3 linked regions of the Diceros bicornis minor genome follow. The protein of the gene in region 2 purifies or fractionates together with the protein of the main gene of each other region. This does not show direct contact. Links are inferred from orthologs where the notes say so. Each region holds a gene or a part of one and is shown on either strand. Other genes may lie near its edges. The genes, in order: PPP2R3C, CEP43 and CEP78.

Region 1 (7,497 bases), on a different chromosome or scaffold from region 2:
CCCTTCTTCCTCTATCATTTCAACTTTCGTAGTTTAACTTCTAAGTCCCAAACCTATGTCAGTAACCCAGACATTGCTCTTGAACTCTAAACTCATCCATTCAAACAAAATATTTTCATCCTCATGCTGCAACATAGCTGAAATAATTCTCCCCATCCCTCACCTTACTACTCTTCTCTAATTCCATATTTCCATTTCAGTTGATGGTAGCACGATTCATCCAGTCACCCAAGCCCAAATCCCAAAAGTCATGTTCATTGTTTCATTCTTTTTCCTTCAACTATTCTAGAGATACACAAGTAAATGTGTGAGTAGCTGTGTGCATGTGTGTCCATACATACATGCAGCTTTCAACAGAGTGTCAGGGAAAGCCTCACTGAGATGAAATTAAAAAACTGAGGAAGAGGAGGAAGCACGCTATCCAGATATCCAGGGGGAAGTACATTCCAGGCAAAGGAAATAGCCAGTGCCAAGGCCCTAAGATGAGAGTGTGCCTGGTGTGTGCAGGGAAGAGGGAGGCAGCCAGTGTGACTGCAGCACAAGGAGCCATGGGGAGATTAGGGAGGGCAGACAATGGGGAGCCAGGCCACCAGGTGGTTGGAAAGACCTTGGCTTTTATTCTGGTGAGGGAGAGAGCCACCTGAAGCAATGAGGAGGCTAATGCTAATCCAGGTGACAGACGGCGGTGGCTTGGAACAGGGTGGCTGCAATGGAAGCCGTCAGGAGGAAATATACTCTGTATTTTCTTTTTAGTCCCAGGATTTGCTGACACACTGGATGTGGGTATTAGAGAACGAGAGCAGTCAAAGATAACAAAGATATAACTAAAGGTTTTGACCAGATATGGGGTTGCCAGTACCTAAGATGGGGAAAACTACAAGTGAGCAAGTTAGGAAGGAGAGCAGGAGTTCAGTTCTGGAAAAATTAAGATTAAGATATCTATCAGATCCAAGTGGCAATGTCAAGTAGGCAATTAGATATATGAATCTGGCATTTGGGAAGAGGTCCAGGATAGAGATAAAAATTTAGGAGACAATACGAATAGATAATATTTAAAGCCATATGACTGGATAACTTCACCATGAAGGTGAGTGTAGACAGAGAATAGAAGCTGACCACGGACTTAGCCTTGGGCATTTCAACGTTAAGTTGTTGGGTAGAAGAGGAAGAAAAAGCAAAGACTAAGAAGGGATGCAGGTGAGGTAGGAGGAAAACTAAGAGAGTGTGTCTCCCAGAAACCAAGAGAAGAAAGTATGCGTAGGAGGAGAGAGTGAACTACTACGTTCCTGGCAGGGACTGCTGGCAGGTCAAGTAAAATGAGGACTGAAAACTGACCACTGGAACAACATGGAGATCACTGACCATCTTGACAAACAGGAATTAGAGACGAGTACGGATTTAACCAACAATTCTTCTAACAAGTGTTGCTATAATGGGAGCAGAGAAATGAGGCATAGCTGGAGGTGGAAGTTAAGACAAGACAGTTTCTTTAAGACGGGAGAAATACCACCATATTCACATGCTGATGGGAATGACTGAGAAAGAAAAACTGATGATGCAGAAGAGAGGGGATGACTGGGGGAGCGCATCCTTGAGTAGGCAAAAACGGGATGGAATCTAGCACACTGATGAAGGAAACAGCATTAACCAGAAGTTGTGCAACTAAATGACTCATTTTGTTTATCATCTCTCCCAACACTAAAGCATGATCTACAAGGACAAAGATTTTTGTCTGTTTTGTTTACTGTTATAACCTACAACAGTACCTGACACATAACACATGCAATGGAGTGGCTTTAAGAGTGAAGGGGAGGAGAAAGCACAAGTATAGGTAACTTTTTCGAGACGTTTTCCTATAAGGGGTGCAGAGAAATGCAGCAAAAGCTGGAGGCGGATGTGAGATCAAATGATTTTTTTTTTAAGATGGGGGATATTACAGCATGTTTGTCACAGCTGATGAAAACGATCCAGTAGAGACACAAAATTTGATGATGCCTGAGAGAGAGGATAAGCCCAGAGTGAAGGCAGTGAATAAAAGAAAGGGAACACGATCTAGTGTTGGAGTGCAGAGACTGTCTCACATAGCAGCTTGGACAGTTCTTCATTTTAACCGTGAAGGCAGAGTGTATGCGCACCTATGGGGGGCTGACAATGGTAAATGGGAACACGTGACGTTCTTCTTTGATTGCTTCTACTTTCTCAAATACATATACGTACATACGTAAGTCCATCAGCTGACGGTAAGGAGTAGGAAGGACATACTGGAGGATCGGAAGTTTGGGAGATGAGAAGAACTGCCTTAGACTGTGGGAGAGTGAATGTCTAGGGAAACACGGAAGGAGTGTAAATGAATGGCTGAAAACACCTACTTTGGGTGAGTGGACGCGAATTAAAAGTGAGACAATTCACCCTGGTTCCTTTTTTCTCCAACCACTTTCAGCTGCTCCGGGTGCAGGTGTGGAATACGAAAGACAGTTTTAACTAGATTGGTTAGCAAGCAAGTGTGAAGGAGGGCGAAAGGGACAAGGAAGAATGGATTATGAAACCTAAATGTTATCCATTTTAGATGGATAAGGAGGGAAGTGAAAAGTGTGATGGTAACAAGGCGGTAGGATCAATGGACCATAGGTTCTGGAAGGACCGAAGAGTTGTTGGAGCCGGGGTTCTCAATTTTCCCTCACAGTCTGGGTCAAGACCATGTAAGTGAGAGGCTAAGGAAGCTTTTCATTCCCGCAAATCCTTTCCCCGGGAAGTGTGGGTCACACCTCCCCGGATCCCTAAACCAGTCCACTCTGCCTCCTTTGTCAGGGGCGGTTCTCGAGGAGCGGAAAGCGCCGCTCGCGTCGCTGCTCCTCCCCGCTCTCCCCCAACCTCTAGGAGTTTAGGGCCGGCCTGGCTCTGCGGGCGGCCCCTCCCAAACTCACTGTTTGGACCGGTGTCGGGCGTCGCTAGCCGCCGGCGAAGCACTTCTTTCCAGTCCATGGCTGACTCCCGCGCAGCGGGTCCTGCATTCGCTGTTTACTGCCCGCTCCACCCCCTCCCAGCTCCGACGTCACACGCCGTCCAGCCCCGCGAAGGTTAGGGAGGCCGCTCAGCCGCCATCTTGGGCACGGGCGGAAGGTGGCTAAAGAGGCAAAAACGATTCCTCTACACTGCGGAGACTACGGCGATCACACTGACAGCGGAGAAACCGACGTGAAAGAGGTGGAAAATGATCCTCCTGAAGGCGGCGTCCCAACTTCACCAAGCCCGATTTTAAAGGCGCAGGATAAGGGAGCCCGCGCTTTTATTTCTTCATCTTGGGCCTTTGGCGCTTGTGCACCACGTGACTCAGGGGTCCTCAAGCTTTTCCGGCTCGAGGGAAGAACTTTCTTCCTTCACAATTTCTTTTCATTGTTCACTGCGGATATATGGATGCCCTAAATGTCCTCTAAACTTAGTAGTCGCCTTCCGCCGCCGCCTCTACCCCCTTCTGCCACTAAAAGCTTCAGAATCGCCTTTTTCTCGCTGCCAGGCCCGGCGGAACGCCCGCGCCCTGCTCGGTCCCGCCCCCTCGCCCGGGGTCGCCGCGGTGCATTGTGGACGCGGTAGTTTCCGCTGCGTTCATGGTTGGGTTTAGCGTGAGTGCTGCGGTGAGTTGTTGAATGAAGTGGAATTGGTTTGCGTTGGGTCCGTACCCGGTAGGCGGTGCCCTTCGCGGATCTCCCTTCCTTGTCTGTGTGGTAGGCTCGCCCCCCCCCCCATTCCCCCCGTTTACGAGTTTGGCGCCTGGGGAGACTGGGATACAGGACCAGGGCCGCTATCCTTGCTGCTGTGGGTCTGGGGTCGGCGGCTCCTGGGCGCGGTTTTCCACTTTAGGCCCCTTGTTCAGCAAGGCTCCCATGAGATCTTGCCCCTTTTCGAGGACAGTTGTGATCCACGTGAGTCGAATTGGGCGGTCCTCCTTGTGCTTTCTCTTCAGGTTCACGGACTGGAATATAACAGGCACCGGAGGGTCCCTGCCGAGTCACCTGGGTCTGGGGTTTCCGACGGAGGTTAGATGTCCCATATCGTTGTTTAATGGAGAGAACTCACCAGGCTTCGTTGCTGTTTAATAGCCCCCAAAGCAGAACCTTGATTTGTGTGTGAGAGACTGAAAGTCATCTTTTAAAAAGTTGTGCTGTAAAAGTAGGGCTTGTTGAACATCTCTCTCACTACCTGGTGCTGATCTCACTGCATAATGGCTTTCTGTTTCACCGGTGTTCGAAGCTTTCCTAAGCTTTGGAAGAGCAACCCATACCTTGGGCTAGGCCCAGGACACTCTTACCTCTCTCTCTTTCTCAAAGACTATTATGGCATCAGGAACCAACAGAAGTGGATTTCTCTTAAAACAGTGTCTCCACAAAATACTAAAGCAGTGAATCTGCTCATTGCCAAGGCCAGATATCCCAGGAAAGGGGATGAGGGCAGTAAGAAGCAAGTTTCTTCTGATTCTCCTCATCTTTTTGCAGCTGGAGCGGCTAAGAAGAGATCACAGATGAATCCTCAGAGTAAAGATCATGCCTTGTCACCCGTCAGGGACACTATTCAACTTCCAACAAAACCTTTGAATTCAGAGGAGTGGGATAAACTTAAGGAAGATTTCAAAGGAAAGGCTAATTTTGAAAATTGGATCAGTTCACAAATGACTCATTGCCATAGCTCTGTAGATGTGGCCAAATCTCTGCTAGCCTGGGTAGCTGCAAAAAACAATGGTGTTATAGGCTATGATTTGCTGGTCAAGTATTTGTATCTTTGTGTCTTTCATAATCAGACATCAGAAGTTATTGACGTCTACGAAATCATGAAAGCCAGATACAAGAGTTTAGAATCTGGAGGGAACACTCTTCTCATCCGGGGATTAATCCATTCAGACAGATGGAGAGAGGCCTTGCTGCTGTTAGAGGACATCAAAAAAGTAATGGTCCCTTCAAAAAAGAACTATCATGACTGTATCCAGGGAGCCCTGCTTCATCAAGATGTGAACATAGCTTGGGATTTGTATCAGGAGTTGTTAGGCCATGGTGTTATTCCTATGTTGGAAACTTTAAAAGCCTTCTTTGATTTTGGAAAAGATGTAAAAGATGATCAGTATTCAAACAAACTACTAGACATTCTTTTGTATCTAAGAAATAATCAGCTGTATCCTGGAGAATCATTTGCACACAGTATAAAAACATGGTTTGAGAGGTAATTTTGATTTTTCTTTGTATGTATGTTTTTATTTTAATACCTATACCTAAAAGAAGCCTCCTCTTTTTTATTAGTTGCCGAGAATTACTCTACTCAGATTATACTTTTTTTCCATCTCTTAGTAAGATTTAAGACAAAATTTTCTTTCTCTTAAAAAAAAATAGTGGCATAAACAAGTTGTGCTAATCTCTTCTCATCACATAAAAGGAAAATTATAGAGCACTTGTAGATTTTATGTGTCTTTTCCTTTTAGAAGGATCATTTATTTGGTTTTCTGAGGTGTCTAGTATTATGTGAGTAGTTACCAATAGCACTGGTGGCTGGAGTTCCTAGCAAGTAAACTGGAGCTGTCTTTGGGTCATTTTAGTATTTTCAGAAGTTCTGAAACCTAGTAACTGGTATAACATGCATACATACTGGTTTAATCTATGCATTTTATCAAATTGATCGGTAGAACGGAATGGACAGGGGATCCTGATCAAACCTGATATGCAGGTATTAAAATAGAAAATCTTCCTCTTTCCTGTTCATTTGTGATCTTTCCATCATTCGACTGCTCTCTCCAAGGCTTTCTCCTTTGCTTTTAGTTATTGCCTACCTGCCTATTTATTGCTGCAGTCTTTTATTCTCTTATTTCTTCACAACTAATGTGCTTCAGGCTCTTTCCTAAAAAATAATTCCTTTTCTCTTGCTTTTCTACTATATATTATCTTTATAGAGCTTTGAAGTAGCAATCATGCTTAGTTATCTTATTTAATGAATTTATTGAATATCAACGGAGGAGCTAGATTGTGAAAATCTTTGAAGATTTTGGGTTTTATTGTGTTATCAAGAGTGCTCGTCCCACAGTGGATTTTTAGAAAGGTACTGCCAAAACAGTGCGAAAAGAAGATTGGAGAGAGATTAAGATTGGAAACAGGGAGATCTGTTTGGAGGGAACTATAGGTTTGAATGAGAGATGATGATATCTTGAATTAAGAACTAGGGAAGGAGAGAAGGCAATAGAATCAATAGGAATTGATGGTAATATGTGTAGGAGGAAAGAAGAAAAGATAAGTTGGTTGAGCAAATAAATCAGTAAGTTTTGAATGCCTCCAATTAGGCTAGGCACTGAGAATGTTTTGTGATATAGGATCTATTATGACAGCATTCATAACCTAAATGGGAATATGATACTTGACCGTTAAATAATAGTGGTGTATAACATGATAGTATAAGAGAAGAAGTTGTTCTGGGTAGGAACAATCTGTGGTAGCTTTATGGAGAGGGTTAGAGTTGAGTTTGATTTAGAGGTTACAGTACTAATAGCTGCTTTCTGTACAAGTCCTGTGAAGGTAGATTTCGAGTTGAAGATGAGGGTCGGATGACTGGAGGAGAAGCAAAGGGAAGGAGATCCAGAGTAGGGTACCATCAGCTCCTTAGTCCCATCGTGGTGTATCAACTACTCTTGTAATTTAACCATTCTTGGGAAGTATCCGGAACTTTTCAGAGCTCTTGCCTACTGTGTTTCTAAATACAATGACTATCTTTCAGTTCAGTAGGCACCTGACCTTCTGATGATTTGATTTTGCAATCTTTTTTGTAGTGTTCCTGGAGAACAATGGAAAGGACAATTCACAACAGTCCAAAAAAGGTAAAGGCCAATATTTAATTTTTAACTTGTTTGATTCAGGTTTAGTAGGTTTTGTTGCTACTGACTTAAAAATTTTTAAGAATATTCTAGAGATAGGATAATTAAGAGTTAGAGTACCCAGGGGAAAAGCCGTGTTTTGCATATGGAGAAGTTGCAGTGTTCAAAATGTTTTTTCTATAGGTGCTGTGAGCCTGGTGTGAAGCCTCAGAGATGTTTTCCCCTAGAGATTTGGGACCTAGTTGTGTTTTAGGAATGACTTTAAAAACTTGATCTGGATGCCCAGCAGTGTATTCTTAGGTTTTCTGGCACACTGATGTGTGATACTATCAAGTTTACAAAAAATCAGATGCATGTGATGATCACAAACGTATAATGCTCTTTTTAAATTACCTTTCAATTTCCTCATGTCCTAGGATTATTCATTTTAGAAAAAGTTCTTTTCTAGGACACTATTTAACACAAACAATTGTAATTACAGTGGTCAGTGTTTGGGCTGTGGAAAAACCATAGAGTCTATTCACCTGAGTCCGGAAGAGTATGAATTTCTCAAGGGAAAAATCATGAGGGATGTGATAGATGGAGGTGACCAATACAGAAAGACGACACCTCAGGTGAGTCTGAAACAGGTTTTATTGCATTCTTGGATTGCTTGT
Region 2 (7,102 bases):
GATGGTGAGGGACACCAGTGAAGGGGAGACTGGAGAAAAGGAAACGGTAAAGTAATCTGGAAAAGAGATAACTAAGTGTAGGCAAAGTGGGCAGCTGTACATTTCAGATACAGAACTGACAGACACAGAAGCAGGCGACCTACTGGACACGCGGAGAAAAGAGCAAGGTCTAGGGGCTCTCTCAGGTTTCCTGCTTGGATAAATTATGGTCCCTGTAAAGAAGAGCAGTCTAGGAGGCAGTGTACCGTACAGGTCTGAAGCTCCAGACGGAGATATGGACCAGAGACAGAGGGCTGAAGTTAGTTACTGGTGTGGTTGAGGTCATCCAGGGAGAGAACACAGAATTTGAACTACGGGAAAATGCACCAATGATTTAAGTGAGGTGTTTAGGAAAAAGATCACGCTAAAGAATCCAAGGACTGATCAAAAGGAAAAAAGAAAACAGAAAGAAAAGGGTCCCAAAAGTCAAGGGAGATTTTCAAGAAGGAAGGAGGAATTGAGAATGTCAAATGCCACAAAGAGCAACTAAGATGGGTAAGAACTAAAATAGACTCAATCAGGAGATTCTTCTTGACCGCAGCAAGAGAAATTACTTTGGTGTAGTAGAGTTGGATTTAAGACGTTAATGGATTAAAGGGTGCCTAGAACATAAGAAATGGTATAAGACATACACATTCTTTCAAACCTAGGCCATGAGGGAAAAAAATAGAGAGGTATTAAAAGCAGAACAAGAGTCAAGGGAACAGCTTTCTCCTTGAGAGAGCTGTAAACATGTTTCCATCCTCAAGAGAAGAGCCAAAAGAAAGAAGGAGGCCAAAGATACAGCAAGTCGCTGAGGGGCTGACAGTACCTGGAAGGCAAAACCCAGAGAAAGTGATGCTTCTTGGACAAGACAGAGCTTCCCCTACTAAAGCAGGAAGGAAGGAGGAAAAGTGACAAACAGATGCAGGGTAGCTTTTTCTGAGGTGAGTGACAGCCTGAGGGAGAGGACACAGCAAGTTAGGCCCTGGTGCTTCTACTTCCCCTGAAGGAACAGACAAGACCGTCTGTGGAGAGGGAAGCAAAGGGGTGAGGTACGGGCTACAGTGAAGCTGCCACAGGAGGTCCTGAGCACAGAGTAGAAAGCCAGGTCTGCTCAGGACCTCACTGAGGTCGGTGTCCACCAATTAGCAACATCAGCAATCACAGCGTTGGGTGACTTTGCTCTAGCACGCACATGCACGAACAGGGAAGGGAGTTACTTTGCTAAATTCAATGACCATTAGGATTTTTCCCAGACCAAGTATGGCTGGAAGGCGAGGTAGTTAGGGTTTTTGAGATATGGCCCATGGCATCCAGACCAGTCAGGAACAAAAGACAGCCAAGAGAAGACTAATGCCTGGAAGAGCTCCATGGAGTTAAAGAGGAGCAGGCATCTAGGTCTAAAGAAGTGAGCTGTGGCGGGGAGCGATTTGTCAGAGGGCAAGGTGAGGAGCTTGATTATGGAGTGATTCTTGTTGATGACAAGGTCCAAGACACTTACTCAGGATGGTGATGGGACTCAGCGTAGAGAGAAAAAACGAAATACGCTTGTACAGAGAAGTGGTTTGACTTTTGACAATAAGAAAGATTACATGATTTTAAAACAACTAGGTGATCAGATAATTTTGGGAAAAGTTGCATACTATATTCCCCAATGAACATTAGCATACTGAAGGTTCTGAGGGATCCTGCAAGAAAGTAAACTCACTGACAACAGAATCATTTCTGTGTGTAACTCCTATGAACTTGTGTCTCAGATCTCCCCTATGGAAAGAGATCTATGACATTTAAGATTTAGTACCAGCCTCAGAGTTACTGTGGTACCTTAACTTTCTTTAAATTATTCCAAAATTCTAAAACATACACAAGAAGAGAATAATTTTGACTCTCTCTCAACAGTAAAAAATGTAATCATTAATAGTCCAAAATTATCCCTGGCTATATGCTACTATAAACAATATTTTAGAACGGTTTTTAAGTAATTAGAAATTAAACATCAACGAATACAGTCACATTAAAATTTGTCAATTTCATACCTCTACTTTTTCTTGCTCCTCTAGCGCTAAAAACACAGCTGCTCGGAGTTCCGCCTTAAAAAAGAAGGATAAAGGAACAAAAATTATCTCAACACGATTTTCATGACAAGAAGCGAATACTTGCTAAGATAGGCACCATCCACACCACCTGAAGCCAAACGAAAGGAAAACTAGCCAGACGATAACGCAGAGAGATGTGGAAAAAGCATCCTGAAACATTCTGAAAAGAGAGTCAACTAGCTCTCCGTTCCCCAAGTCTACCACTGCTCCCCTCCATCTTCTCTCAGCACCATCACTCTTTTAGCTCTGCTCTCCCTTTCCTAATCGTGCCTACGAGCCACGACAATGTCTGAGAAGTCCACCTGGAGAAATACCTCGCCAGACACGGGCAACCCAGCTGGTTACAGCGAGCTGGGCGGGGGGGGGGGGGGGGGGGGCGTGGGCGACTGGGTCCCCCGGACGTAGGGCGGGGTCGGGGGACAGCCGGCGACTCGACCCCCGGACGAGGGGGGACTCAGGGGGGCAGCGGGCGACTCGACCCCCGAACGAGGGGGGACTCAGGGGGGCAGCGGGCGACTGGAGCCCCGGACGCGGGGTGGGGGCCCGGGGAGCCGGTGGTCTGGCCTCCTCGGACGAAGAGTCCAGGCCGGGGCGCCTCTCCCGCACGCCGCCGCGCGGCCGGAGCTTCCCGGGAGTGACCCTCGACCCCCGCGCGGTCCGCCTGGAGGTGGCCCGCCCCCCGCCCGGGATGCCAGCCCGACGCTCCCTGCGTCCCTTTGTGACGCCCGCCGTCCGCACAGGCCCTGCGGCACGGACGCCGCCGGCCTCCCCTCGTCACGCCTGGCCCGGCCCCCGCCCCACCTTGATGCGGTTCAGGACCCCGCTGTTCTCCAGCGTCTGCACCAGCAGGTCCCGCAGCTCCGTGTCCTCCTCTGCCACCACCGCGGCCGCCGTCGCCGCCATCTTGCTTCTCCAAGACAACCGCCCAAGCCGCGCCAACGGCCAACCGCCGCCGCAGACTCCGCACGGCGCGCGCCGGCGCGGCCGAAGCCACGCCCCCGGTGCCAGCGCGCAGCCCTTCCTCACGCCGGGGGCGGGGGGGCCGGGGGCGGGGCCTAGGGGGCGCCGTGAGATGGGCGGGGTGCGGGGGGGGGGGGGCGATGTGGAGGGGCGGGGCCTCGGGGAGACGAGAGATGGGCGGGGCGCGGGGCAATAAGAAAGGGCGGGGCGGGGCCTCGGGGAGACGAGAGATGGGCGGGGCGCGGGGCAATAAGAAAGGGCGGGGCGGGGCCTCAGGGTCTCGGGAGGCGGGAACATTGCAGGCGACGGTGGAAGAGGGGGGCGGCGCGGGGAAGGGCGGGGAGGGGAGACTGGGGTAGCAGAGGCGTTTGAAATGTTCCTGGTGTGCGCCTGCAGGTTGTCTGTGTAGACACGGGTGCTGGAAGCCGGGGGAAATTCCTGATGTCTGCCACTTGCTCTCCAAGGTGCGGCCGAAATGTGTGTGCATACATGAACGTGTGTGCGTGTGTGCATGCAGTCACCGGGAGAGCATGTACGTGCATGCGTGTATGTGCACCCGCTCTCCGAGAGAGAGCACGTCTACACTGTGCGGTACAGTGGAGCATTTATGGACGCTCAATATACTGTTGTACTGTTCTTTACACCCTGTGTGTTTGCATAGTTTTGGAATAACATGTTGAGAAAAGTGAGGAAATTCAAAACTACGTACTAGGAAGCTTGTAAGAAAAAAGTGCAGATTCTAGACCTCCACCCCAGGGGTCCTCACGCGGTCTGCAGTAGGTTTTAGGAATCATTTTCACAAGTAGGCCAGGTGATTCTAAAGCAGGTGGTCTGCAGATTATTATCTGAGACACAAAGGGAATATGTCAAATGAGAAGTAGAAGTCGAGGTGTTCTGCCGAGGCCAACTTTTCTCCCTGCTGGCAGCGTCTGTTAAAATTGGTACGGTATATATCTTTCCAGACAACTTTGTACATCGACACGTTACTACACACGTGTACTTTTTCCCCTTCCGTAATTTGGGTCCTGTGCTTACTGTCTTTTAATTTACTAATTTCGTTTAATAAATCCTGACCATCTTTTGATGTATGTAGGTATAGACTCTGCCTCATTCTTTTTAACTCCTGCATAGTGCTCTGTTTAAGGGTGTTCCAAAAATTATTTTTTGTTATTAGACTACAGTATGTTTGCATTTGTTTTGTTTGTTGTGGAAGTAATTCATACCAATGGTTAAAAATCCAAACAAGAGGAAAACATTAAATGAAAAGTAAAAGTCTCTGCATCTTTCCTACTCACCTATCCATCACCTGGTACATATTCTAGACCCAACAACAATTATGTTTGTTTTAGTTCTTCTCATTCTTTTCGTTATAACTCTAAATAATATACATCTTGACTCCTCAACCATAAACAGCAGCTTTTCAAAGGATAAAAATGTATCTTCTCTTCCAACTCCTAATTTTAAAAATTACATTACTTTTAGTTCTGCTGGTGGAAGATTTCGTGACTTTAAATTGTTTACCTAAATCATTATTTATAAATTTTACACATTGCCTATTGGCTCCCTAATATGGGAGATGAGGAAATTCATGTATTTATACTCTCTCTCACCTTTCCACCTCTACTGCTCCTAATGTTCTGAGTTAGAGTTTTATTTTTATGCTATCAAGAATTTGCATTCTTCTCTTAATTATAATTATATTTTCAAACCTTGTCTGTAGGTCAATTGAAAAACAAGCCACAGCATCCACCCTATTAGGGGTATAATAGGTCTGTTAGACAGAGCCCCTATGCCCTTGAACTGAAGATTTTTCTGCATACTCCAACTGCCCCCACCTGAGATGATTTGCCTGCTGACTTTTTCTGGTCACCAGACCCTGCTCTGCCTGCATTTGGGGAAGGCCTGAAGTGCCAGGGAATACATACCTCCTGAGAGTGCCTGCAAGTGCTGGCAGAGAGTAGATAAGGACCCCCAACTCCCTCACCCCCAGGGGGGCAGAAAGGTACCTCTAAGGTGCCTTCTACACTGGCTCCCGGTGTTTCTTGTTTGAGCTCCAGTTAAACAGAAACCTGCTTAATAGCACGGCTCTTATGAGTTTACTTCCCTGCCTTGTCCCATTTCCCACTCCCCTACTGCTGTGTCCCGGGATTCTCTCCCAAATAAACTGTTTGCACTCAAATCCTTATCTCAGGCTTCTGGGGCACTCAGACTAAGACAGTTACCCCAGATTTGGTCATGTGAAGCCCATCCTAGGAATGGGGTTCTGGAATTGGATCACTCACTAGCCAGATAGCAACAAGGACACACTGTTGGTGGTAAGTGGGGCAGTGGTACCCCTGGAATGGTGCAGCAGCTTTGCTGTTATGACTAAGTGAGAGGGGACACCATGGAAGGGGGGCACAGGCTGGTGCAATCTCTCTAGCACTTGGGGATATGGGGGCGATGGTAATTTTAAAGACTGTGGAGTCAGATTTTTTTAAAAATGATATCAAAATGCTGAAGCAAGAATATGACAGCCAGGTATCAACCTACGGCACTGTGTAAAAGCCGTTTTTGTGAGCCAGAAAATCCCATGATATCACATTGGTAGCTTGAAATTCACTGTGGTAGGAAACACCATGGAGATTGGCAAATACTATGAATTGGGGCTTTTCCTTTTCACAGAGAGCCAGTTATTAAACATTTACTAGCTGTTATGAGAGGTTTGGGGATTCGATCGGAGATGTAAAAGACACTTTCCACTCCAAACAAATGGACTGAAGGTATATTTTATTATATAGAGTATAGTAAAGGCGATAGTCCGCAAACAGATCCAAATAGGTCAAATAATAAGAGGGAAAAAACACCAGCTCGACTGGAAAGGGAAAATATCCACATCGGCTGAGATAGCAGCAGATCCGAATAGGTCATATAATAAGAGGGAAAAACATCAGATCGATCGGAAAGGGAAACACCAGGTCGACTGAAGGGAAATGACACAAATCAACCGGAAAGAGAAACACCAGGTTGACTGAAAAGAGAACACATCAAATCAGTTACTTTATAGTAAATCAATTACTTATATCAAATCAGTTACTCACAATATCCACGCCCCACTGCCGGGAGAGCCCTGTCAATCGACGCGGCTGGGCAAGAATCACACGTCCTGGGCAAGGTGTCCCTTCCACAGGTGGAACTCTCACCGGGTCTCAGTCTCCAGCAGTTTATATAAGCAGTTACAGAGTTTACAGAGCAAGCATCCAGTGTTTCCATGCACACATGGTTATCAGTGGCGTACGTGCACTGAGCCCCTTGGCTAACGTCCCAGCCCAGTAGTTGTGTACGTGCATTGTTTTCTTTGGTTATCTTCTTAGCCCAGGACAGATGGCCAGTCCATCCCGTGCTACGACGCTCCAAGAGCCTTGAACTGTTACAACTTGCAACTCCCTCCGTGGGAGAAAGGCCAGTTCCCGGGAAAAGGCCAGTTCCCACCACACAGAAAGCAGCTTTGTATTTCTTTGTGTGCTGGTGGCTATAGGTCAATGGAGCCGCCAAACATGGCTGTACTCATGTCAAGACACTAGCACACCATGGCATTCAGCAGGCTTCCTGAATCTGAGGATTTATACTGTTTAATTCTCAAAGTTTCTAGACCTTTCTAAGCCTCAGTCCCCTCAGGTGTGAAGTACTAACCTACCTAAGAGTTTTGTAATATAAAATAAGATAGTTTGTTGGAAATCACACCTATTTCCTGAGATCAGGAAAGGAAAGATTCATTAAGAAGTTGGTTTTTGAGGAGGGCCTTGAGAAGAATAACTAAATCAGAACAAGGTGAGAGAAGGAAGGTCATTCCAAACATCAAGGACAATGTGAGTAAGAGATAAGGGATGGGCAGCATGGCCCGCTTGGGGGAACAGGGGATCCGATCTGTTAGAATTAGGACACACGAGAGAAAACAGAAACCAGTGGATCTGGAAAAAATGGGAGCAGACCATGGAATATATGAACTTTAGACAGGGGAGACAAGTGTTGTGGGTGGGGGAGAA
Region 3 (8,030 bases), on a different chromosome or scaffold from region 2:
GGTTCGCATCCTGGGCGTGCACCGACACACCACTTCTCCGTGAGGCCGCGTCCCACATACAGCAACTAGAAGGATGTGCAGCTATGACATACAACTATCTACTGGGGCTTTGGGGGAAAAAATAAATAAATAAAAGTTTAAAAAAAAAAAAGGAAAGAAAAAGGCACCTACTTCAGATAGACAAGAAAAAGCACCCCTTCCTCAGGGCCAACTAGCCCCATGAGGCTTGGCAGAGCACAGCTCAGATTGCACGCCTCTGTGCAGAACACAAACACACAAACCAGCAGGCACTAATCCTGTGCGGGCGAGCCATTATAAGCATTATTTTAAGCATATCTTTTCATTTTCGAAGCTCACTCAAGCCGAGTAGGCAGATAAGTGAGAGACACTGAGCTCAGGGGCAGCAAAACCAGCTAGAAGCTTCTGCAATAGTCCAGGCAAAACTTAATTAAGGGTGAAGAAGCAAATCTAGGAGGTTAAAATCTACAACCTAGACCCACTGGATGCAAAAGATAAAGAAGGTTCAGTGAAGGAACTCTGAAGAGAATGGTCTAGTACATTTTTCTTACGTTCAATGTAAAATATTAGGCAAGATTTACTACAGTGCCCTTGACTCCAAGGTCCTTTCCAACTATAACTTCTTTTGATTCCTAAGTTATTACTTTAAGTCAAGTCCCTTCAGAGGTGCAGAACAGCTCCTACACCTGAATGAGATGCAGAGAATAACCTGATTTTTTTTCACCAGTGGATGAGTTAAACTGTCCTTGCCTAAGAGATAACAGATGGTGCGAACCCCAGAGCCTAGAAAAGAGCCAGGTATATGACAAATGTTTAGGTTTTTTAAAATAAATCAATAGTCATTTCTTCTCCTAGATCTTCACACCCTCCCTCTCTGCTAGCTACTTTCTCTCAGCTTATAAACATACTCAAGTGTGTCCCTCTAAAAAACATCTTTCAGACCTATGATTTTCTGGATCTTCTTCGTGGGTAACGTCAGCCTTCAAACTTTTGCCCTCCCATAAAGCCCAGATCTCTAACTTGGGCCCAGACCTGTCTAGCAAACATTCATGGATGCCCCACAGGCCCCTCTTAAAGCATTAAAGACGAAGTAAGATCCTCTCCCCACTCCCAATCTCTGCCTACTGTGCTCGGCATCTCACAGAAAGGTGTTGCTGCAGACTGTCCCCCAGATGCAGCCCTCCCTCAGCTAACTGGTCAGCAGGCCCCATCCATTCTGTCTCTTTGATCTCTGAAATCCAGTCCTCCCTTTCTATACCTTAATTTGGGCCCTCAGATTACAATTCACCCTCTTCCCAACCAACTGCCTTCCAAACGGAGGTCAGAGCGAGTTTCTAAATCAAAAGCCCAGCTCATCATCCTCCGTGTTTCCCACAGCCTTCAGGATTAACAGCCAACCTTTTAACAGGACAAACAAGGCTCCTCTCTGTTTGGCCCCCATCAAGTTTTCAGTCTCAACTCTCCCTTCTTTCTCAAACCGTAAGTTCTAGTCCTGCACCTTAGTTTTCCTGTATTTTCTTTTATGTGAGGAAGATCGGCCCTGAGCTAACATCTGTTGCCAATCCTCCTCTTTTTACTGAGGAAGACTGGCCCTGGGCTAACATTCGTGCCCATCTCCCTCTACTTCATATGGGATGCCGTCACAACATGGCTTGAGAATCGGTGCGTCGGTGTGCGCCCGGGATCCAAACCTGCGAACCCCGGGCCGCTGCCGAAGCGGAGCACGCACTTAACCGCTGGGCCACCGGGCCGGCCCCTTCCTGTATTTTCTTACACGTCTCAAACTTGGACACAAGCTGCTCCCTCCTGCCATCTGAGTACCTTGAAAATATCCTTAGAAAGGAGGACACCTCCTCCAAAAAGCCTTCCCTGCACCTTCCCTTCCAATATTTTGTGCTCCGCAGCACCGGAGCTCACTTCTTGCAGACTGCCGTGCTGCCTCCCCGACCAGAAGGGGCGATCCTTTAGGGCAGGAGCCTGTCTCCAGCAGTGCTTGGTGCTGACTGAGCTCATTCAAGTGCCAGGATCCTTTACACACATAACCTGCTTAATTCTAAGAACCCACTGGCAGAGCGGGTTTTAATGCCATTTTACGTGTGGGTATCGTAGTTCAAGAGTAACCTGCCCGGGCCACACAGAATGTAAGCCCTGGAATTCAAACCGTAGGCTGCCTTCACATCTGTGCTCTTGTCACTATATGATGCTACCATTCAAAAAAAATTTTTTCCCTATCAGAGAGAGTCTTGTCTTAAAACGAAATGAAGCAAAAGGCTGGGATGCATCAACTTCCTAATCTCTTTGTTCTGTATCAAGCAAAGTCATTCATTAAACGAGTTAACATCTCTCTAACGCTTAACAATGTCCCAAACTGTGCTAAGTGCTGTACAAGCACGAACCCGGCGAATCCTTGCAGTCACCATACGGAGTGGGTCCCGTTAAGCCCGTGTTACGGATGAGAACAGAGACCCGGAGCCCTTAGGGGAGTCGCCCAGGGTCACCGAGCTGGTAAGGGCCCCGGGGCGCACGCCCTGTCTACCGCACACATACCCCGGCACTGGGCACCCGCCCCGGCGCCCAGGCTCCACCTGGCACCGTCTAAAATCCCGCTCTGCGGCACAGCCATGGGGCCACTGGGAGCGGGAACTACAAACCTGTTTCGCCCAGCCACGGCTGGAAGAAGCTCCTGACGGAGACCAGCGGCAGATCTTTGTTGATCCTCAGGGTGCTCAGCAGCGGCGCCCAGTCCACCACGCGGAGGCGGTCGGCGTTGAAGTCCAGCACGCCCTCGCGCAGGCAGGCGCGCACGGCCGGCAGCGGCACCGAGTCCTGCAGCGCGCACAGGTACTCGTAGTGCGAGAAGAAGTCGGCCGCGCAGTCGCGGCGCAGCTTCACCGAGTCGATCATGGCCAGGGGCGGCCTCGGGGGACGCCGGCGGCGGAGACAACGCCCGCCTGGGAGCCCCCGGTCGCCGCCCGGCCTCTCCGGCGCCCAGGGCCGGCGGCTGCGGCCCCGCAGCGAGCGCAGCAGCGGCGGCTCGGCCAGAAGACGCAGGGCCCCGGGCCCCAGCTACGCCGGCCCCTTGACGCCGCGCTCCCGCGCCGCCTCCCGCCCCGCGGCGCCGGCCGTTGGCGCCCGCCTCAGCGCCCTCCGCGGCGCGGGGCTGCGGTTCAAGCCGGAGGGCGGGTGCCCGCGGGGGCGGTGCGCAAAGACGTCAGCGCGCTCGGCGTGCGTCAGCACGCAGGCCCCGCCTCCTGCGGAGACAGGCCTTGAGGAAGCGAGGCGGGAGCTTCGGGGCGCGGAGGTGCAGAAGGTAGGTGTTTCTCGGCATTTGGGGTTTCCGAAAAAGGTTTACTGATTGGTTCAATAAAAGTGAGCTATGGATGTAGCGACGCATTTTAAAAAGTGACCTAAACTGTAGAGTGTCTATTCACGCACCGCCCAGGAGGGTACACTCAACAAGGGATGTACGAACGACACCCACTCAGATGTCCACTGTCGTCCATAACTCTTTCACGTCTGTGCTAGTTGTACAAAGAACTCTTAATTTCTGTAGTTTCTACTTGCCTCCCATGGTTGTTGGCAAACTGTAAAGTGTTCCATGAGTTCAGGACATTATTAATGTGATTACTAATAATCACTTTGTTTTGTACTCATGATGATGATGGTTAAGTCTCTAGTAACTTGTACTTTCTGTCTCCTAGGCATTATTTTAAGCACTGTTTCAGTATGAAATCGTTTAATTTTCCTAAAATCTCCACAAAGAATATACTATTGTATATCCACTTTACAAAAGAGAAACTGAGTCACGGGAATTTAAGTAACTTACGGCTAAGGAAGTGGAAGAACTCAGACAATTGGTGTTAAATTAATTAAACAAGGAAGCCATTGGACTGATGTGGCTCTAAAGCTCTGGCAGTCTACATAAGCAAACCAAAATCTAAGGCTGTAAATGCCTCAGGGTTAGGAAATGGAAAAGCTAAGGACAGCCCATCACAAACAGCCAACTATAGGGTATAGCCGATCAATAACTTCCTTGCTTTGCATCCTCCTTTTCCTATGCACGTCTCTCCCCAGCTGCTGTCGGTGGAAGCACTCCTAACCACTTCTAGTGTGGTCTTGCTCGATTTGAATCCATTTTTGCTCAAATAAACTCTTAAAATTTTTGATGTGCCTCAGTTTATCTTTTAATATTGGCCTCAGAACCTGTATTTGAATCCGGTTTCTGGAACAATAGAAGTCCTCCAGTCTGGCCTTAGGCATTATGTTTATGGCATTCCTCTTCCACCCACTACCAACACACACCTCCTCCACTAAAATTCCCTAGATGTGGTCAGTCATGACTTTTCCATGCAACACGCTCAAATTGTAATATAGCAGACCCTCCTCTATCCTCCAACTAGCTTATGAAATGAAACATCACCATTCCTGTTGAAGAGCCCCATGTAACCACTCTCCCAGTCACAACCACTCTCTAACAACCCTGGATAACCGCTCTTCTGAAGGTATTCATCATTGCAATATATGTCTTTATATTTCTGCTACGTTTGTAAGTATTCTTAAACAGCATATAACATTCTATGTTTTCTTCTGCTACTTGCTTTATGTAGTGTTATCTCTAGTTTATGTACTTTCCTTGCCGTATAGCATTCCTATGTAGGAAAATGCAATAATTTGTCTATTTTCCTGTTGATGGAAATTTAATGTTTCCAATTTTCAGTATGATTTCTTTGTTGCTATATCCATTTTTAGTCTCCAGCATCACTTACTGTAGTTGTCCATTGTCTTCTTAACGTTCCCTCTTCCCTGTTTTCCTTGAAGCCACCTGACTTTTTTATACTTCTCTAGTTTCTTCTTCTCTGTCTTGCTCTTGGGTGTCTCTTGCTTACCTATTCTAAATGTTGGTGTTTTTCAGGTTCCCATCCTCAGCGTCCACCCCTTCTGACCTTTCCCAGTTTCTCTGGGTAATCTTGTCTCCTGCTCAGGCTTAACTTCCCCTTCCAGGCTGATGACTTCTAACAAAGATATCTCTCTCCATACGTCAGACTGCCTCCTGGAAAGCCAAAGATTTCTCACTGGCCCCAGCATCAGGTCTGTATTCCTTAGCTTGCCATAGAGGCTCCTTCATGATTTGACTACCTGTGTTGTCTTATTCCTTGCTACATTCCTCCCTGAATGTCTTCTTTAGACACGTGGAACTACTTGAAGTTTCTGATGTTTTATCATTCCTGCCTGGGCCTTTACAGATGCTGCTCCTTTACTTAGGACCCTCCTCCTCCACTCCCTCTTTAGTGGACTAACTTGCGCTTGTTTCCCAACTTCAGGTTGGGGGCCCCCTTCCCTGGGAGGCCTTCTTTCCCTAACCCTCACCTCTCCTCCCCTGCTTGTTTAGTACCTCACTGCTCTGCTCCCTGACATCCCCTTGTCATAACACTTAGTATATCCAATGACAAGCATCTTTTTAGATGGTTTTCTTTCCATAGACTGTAAGCCCTTTGAAGGCAGGGACCGTATCTCATTCATGCTTATATTCCCTATGCCTAGCACAATGTTGGTACATAGGAAGTGCTGAATAATGACTATGGGAACATTCTCCTCTGTTCTCCCTATAGCACCAGTCGTCACCAGCACCTTGTGGCTGCTACCTACGGATGCAGCTCAAGGAAGCCTTCATCATATTAATTCATCACTTAACATATTAACTTAAAATTTATTTCCCCCAAGCTTACTTATTTTCTGTCTGGCAAGATTTCTTTCAAGGCTTGCCTGAGAATCTTTTCTCTACTTCCATTTAATTATGGCTTAATAGTTCTCCTTTTGGCTCCTATGGCTTCAGTTCTGCTTTCAGCATCTTGTGGGCTCTACCCACATGCTTCCCTGAACATGGTGAGCAAAAGCTGCCTCCCCACAGCACCCCTAGGATCCTCTGATAAGCCAGGTTCGTGCCTGGCCCAAGACAAAATGCCTTAGCTTCCCCGCAGATACATGACTTGGGAGGGACATGCCTACTGGGCAGTACAAGAGATGGGCTCTCCTCCTTCAGGGGTCTGGTGAGTGGATGTTTGACTAGAATACGGTTAAGTGGTATCACTTGACCTTTTATTCACTGTACTCTACTCCCAGCCCATCCTGACAACATTATACCCAGACTTCCAGGCGAACTTACCTTTCCATGGAACCTCAATGCTAATGCCATCTGCACATCTCTAACATTCATGTTCTCTGGACCTGCTTTCAGAGCAACGAGTTTGTTGGATCCAGTCACAGAGCTATGTCAACAACATGGGCTGTCTTATTTTAACTGACATATGGTCCCCATTTCTTTTTTCCATGCCCTTCCTTATGGCTATTGACAATGGCTCCTCCAAACCCCCTCCACTCTTTTTTTTCTTTATTGTGAAATTTTTATTGTACATTATTGTTTGTCAGTCACTTATAAATGCATCCCTTCACCCCTTGTGCCCACCTCCCACCCCCCTGCCCCTGGTAACCACCAAACAGTTCTCTCTGTCCGTGTGTTAGCTTATCTTCCATTTATGAGTGAAATCATGTGGTGTTTGTCTTTCTCTGTCTGGCTTATTTCGCTTAACGTAGTACTCTCCAGGTCCATCTATGTTGTTGGAAATGGGACGATTTTGTCTTTTTTTATGGCTGAGTAGTATTCCATTATATATATATACACCACATCTTCTTTATCCAATCATCAGTCGAGGGACGCTTGGGTTGCTTCCACTTCTTGGCTATAGTGAATAATGCTGCAGTAAACATAGGGGTGCATAAGCCTCTTTGGATTGTTGATTTCAGGTTCATTGGGTAGATACCTAGTAGTGGGATAGCTGGATCATAAGGTATTTCTATTTTTAATTTTTTGAGGGATCTCCATACTGTTTTCCATAGAGGCTGCGCCTGTTTGCATTCCCACCAGCAGTGAATTAGGGTTCCTGTTTCTCCACAGCCTCTCCAGCATTTGTTGTTTTTGTCTTGGTCATTATAGCCATCTTACGGGTGTAAGATGATATCTTAGTGTGGGTTTAATTTGCATTTCCCTGATGATTAGTGATGTTGAGCATCTTTTCATGTGCCTATTGGCCATCTGTATATCTTATTTGGAGAAGTGTCTGTTCATTTCCTCTGCCCATTTTTTGATTGAGTTGTTTTTTTGTTGTTCAGTTGTGTGAGTTCTTTATATATTATGGACATGAACCCCTTGTTGGATACATGGTTTGCAAATATTTTTTCCCAGCTAGTGGGTTACCTAGTCATTTTGATCCTGGTTTCATTTGCCTTGTAGAAGCTCTTTAATCTGATGAAGTCCTGCTTGTTTATTTTTTCTTTCATTTCCCTTGTCCGAGTAGACATGGAATTTGAAAAGATCCCTTTATGACCAATGAAGAATAGTGTACTGCCTATATTTTCTTCCAGGAGTTTTTTATTTTCAGGTCTCGCCTTCAGGTCTTTGATCCATTTTGAGTTAATTTTTGTGTATGGTGAAAGCAGATGGTCCACTTTCATTCTTTTGCAAGTAGCTGTCCAGTTTTCCCAGCACCATTTATTGAAGAAGCTTTCCTTTCTCTATTGTATGGTCTTAGCTCCTTTGTCAAAGATTAGGTGTCCATAGATATGTGGTTTTATTTCTGGGCTTTCAATTCTGTTCCATTGATCTGTGGGTCTGTTTTTGTACTAGTACCATGCTGTTTTAATTATTATAGCTTTGTAGTATATTTTGAAGTCAGGGATTGTGATGCTTCCTGCCTTGTTCTTTTTTCTCAGGATTGCTTTAGCTATTCGGGGTCTTTTGTTGCCCCATATGAAATTTAGGATTCTTTGTTCTATTTCTGAGAAGAATGTCATGGGCATGTATGTATGTTACATTTCTATTTAAAATTTTACTTAAAAATAAAGAGCTAATATTTTCCCCTAGAGGCCCATCCTGCTGATAAGCAACTGCATTGTCCCTAGTCATGGTCTCTTCCCCTCTCCTGGGCCAGGCAGTAAAATGCAAACCCAATTTATAC

The links.
Region 1: the proteins of CEP43 (region 2) and PPP2R3C purify together in Homo sapiens (affinity purification with mass spectrometry; 3 studies listed by BioGRID and IntAct, counting the BioPlex papers as one, with this or other methods). This does not show direct contact. The link is inferred for Diceros bicornis minor from reciprocal best matches to the Homo sapiens genes CEP43 and PPP2R3C.
Region 3: the proteins of CEP43 (region 2) and CEP78 purify together in Homo sapiens (affinity purification with mass spectrometry; 3 studies listed by BioGRID and IntAct, with this or other methods). This does not show direct contact. The link is inferred for Diceros bicornis minor from reciprocal best matches to the Homo sapiens genes CEP43 and CEP78.

The regions. Positions count from the first base shown.
Region 1 is NC_080744.1:14,270,321-14,277,817, reverse strand, and holds the start of PPP2R3C (serine/threonine-protein phosphatase 2A regulatory subunit B'' subunit gamma), read right to left. Parts: upstream 3,077-7,497; 5' UTR 2,983-3,076; coding exon 2,925-2,982; intron 1-2,924. Other genes in the region: PRORP (mitochondrial ribonuclease P catalytic subunit), read left to right, coding at 4,220-5,208, 6,797-6,844, 7,323-7,455. UniProt on the Homo sapiens protein: May regulate MCM3AP phosphorylation through phosphatase recruitment. May act as a negative regulator of ABCB1 expression and function through the dephosphorylation of ABCB1 by TFPI2/PPP2R3C complex.
Region 2 is NC_080778.1:4,361,964-4,369,065, forward strand, and holds the start of CEP43 (centrosomal protein 43), read right to left. Parts: upstream 3,057-7,102; 5' UTR 3,021-3,056; coding exon 2,919-3,020; intron 2,112-2,918; coding exon 2,058-2,111; intron 1-2,057. UniProt on the Homo sapiens protein: Required for anchoring microtubules to the centrosomes. Required for ciliation.
Region 3 is NC_080761.1:15,983,258-15,991,287, forward strand, and holds the start of CEP78 (centrosomal protein of 78 kDa), read right to left. Parts: upstream 3,091-8,030; 5' UTR 2,923-3,090; coding exon 2,670-2,922; intron 1-2,669. UniProt on the Homo sapiens protein: Centriole wall protein that localizes to mature centrioles and regulates centriole and cilia biogenesis. Involved in centrosome duplication: required for efficient PLK4 centrosomal localization and PLK4-induced overduplication of centrioles.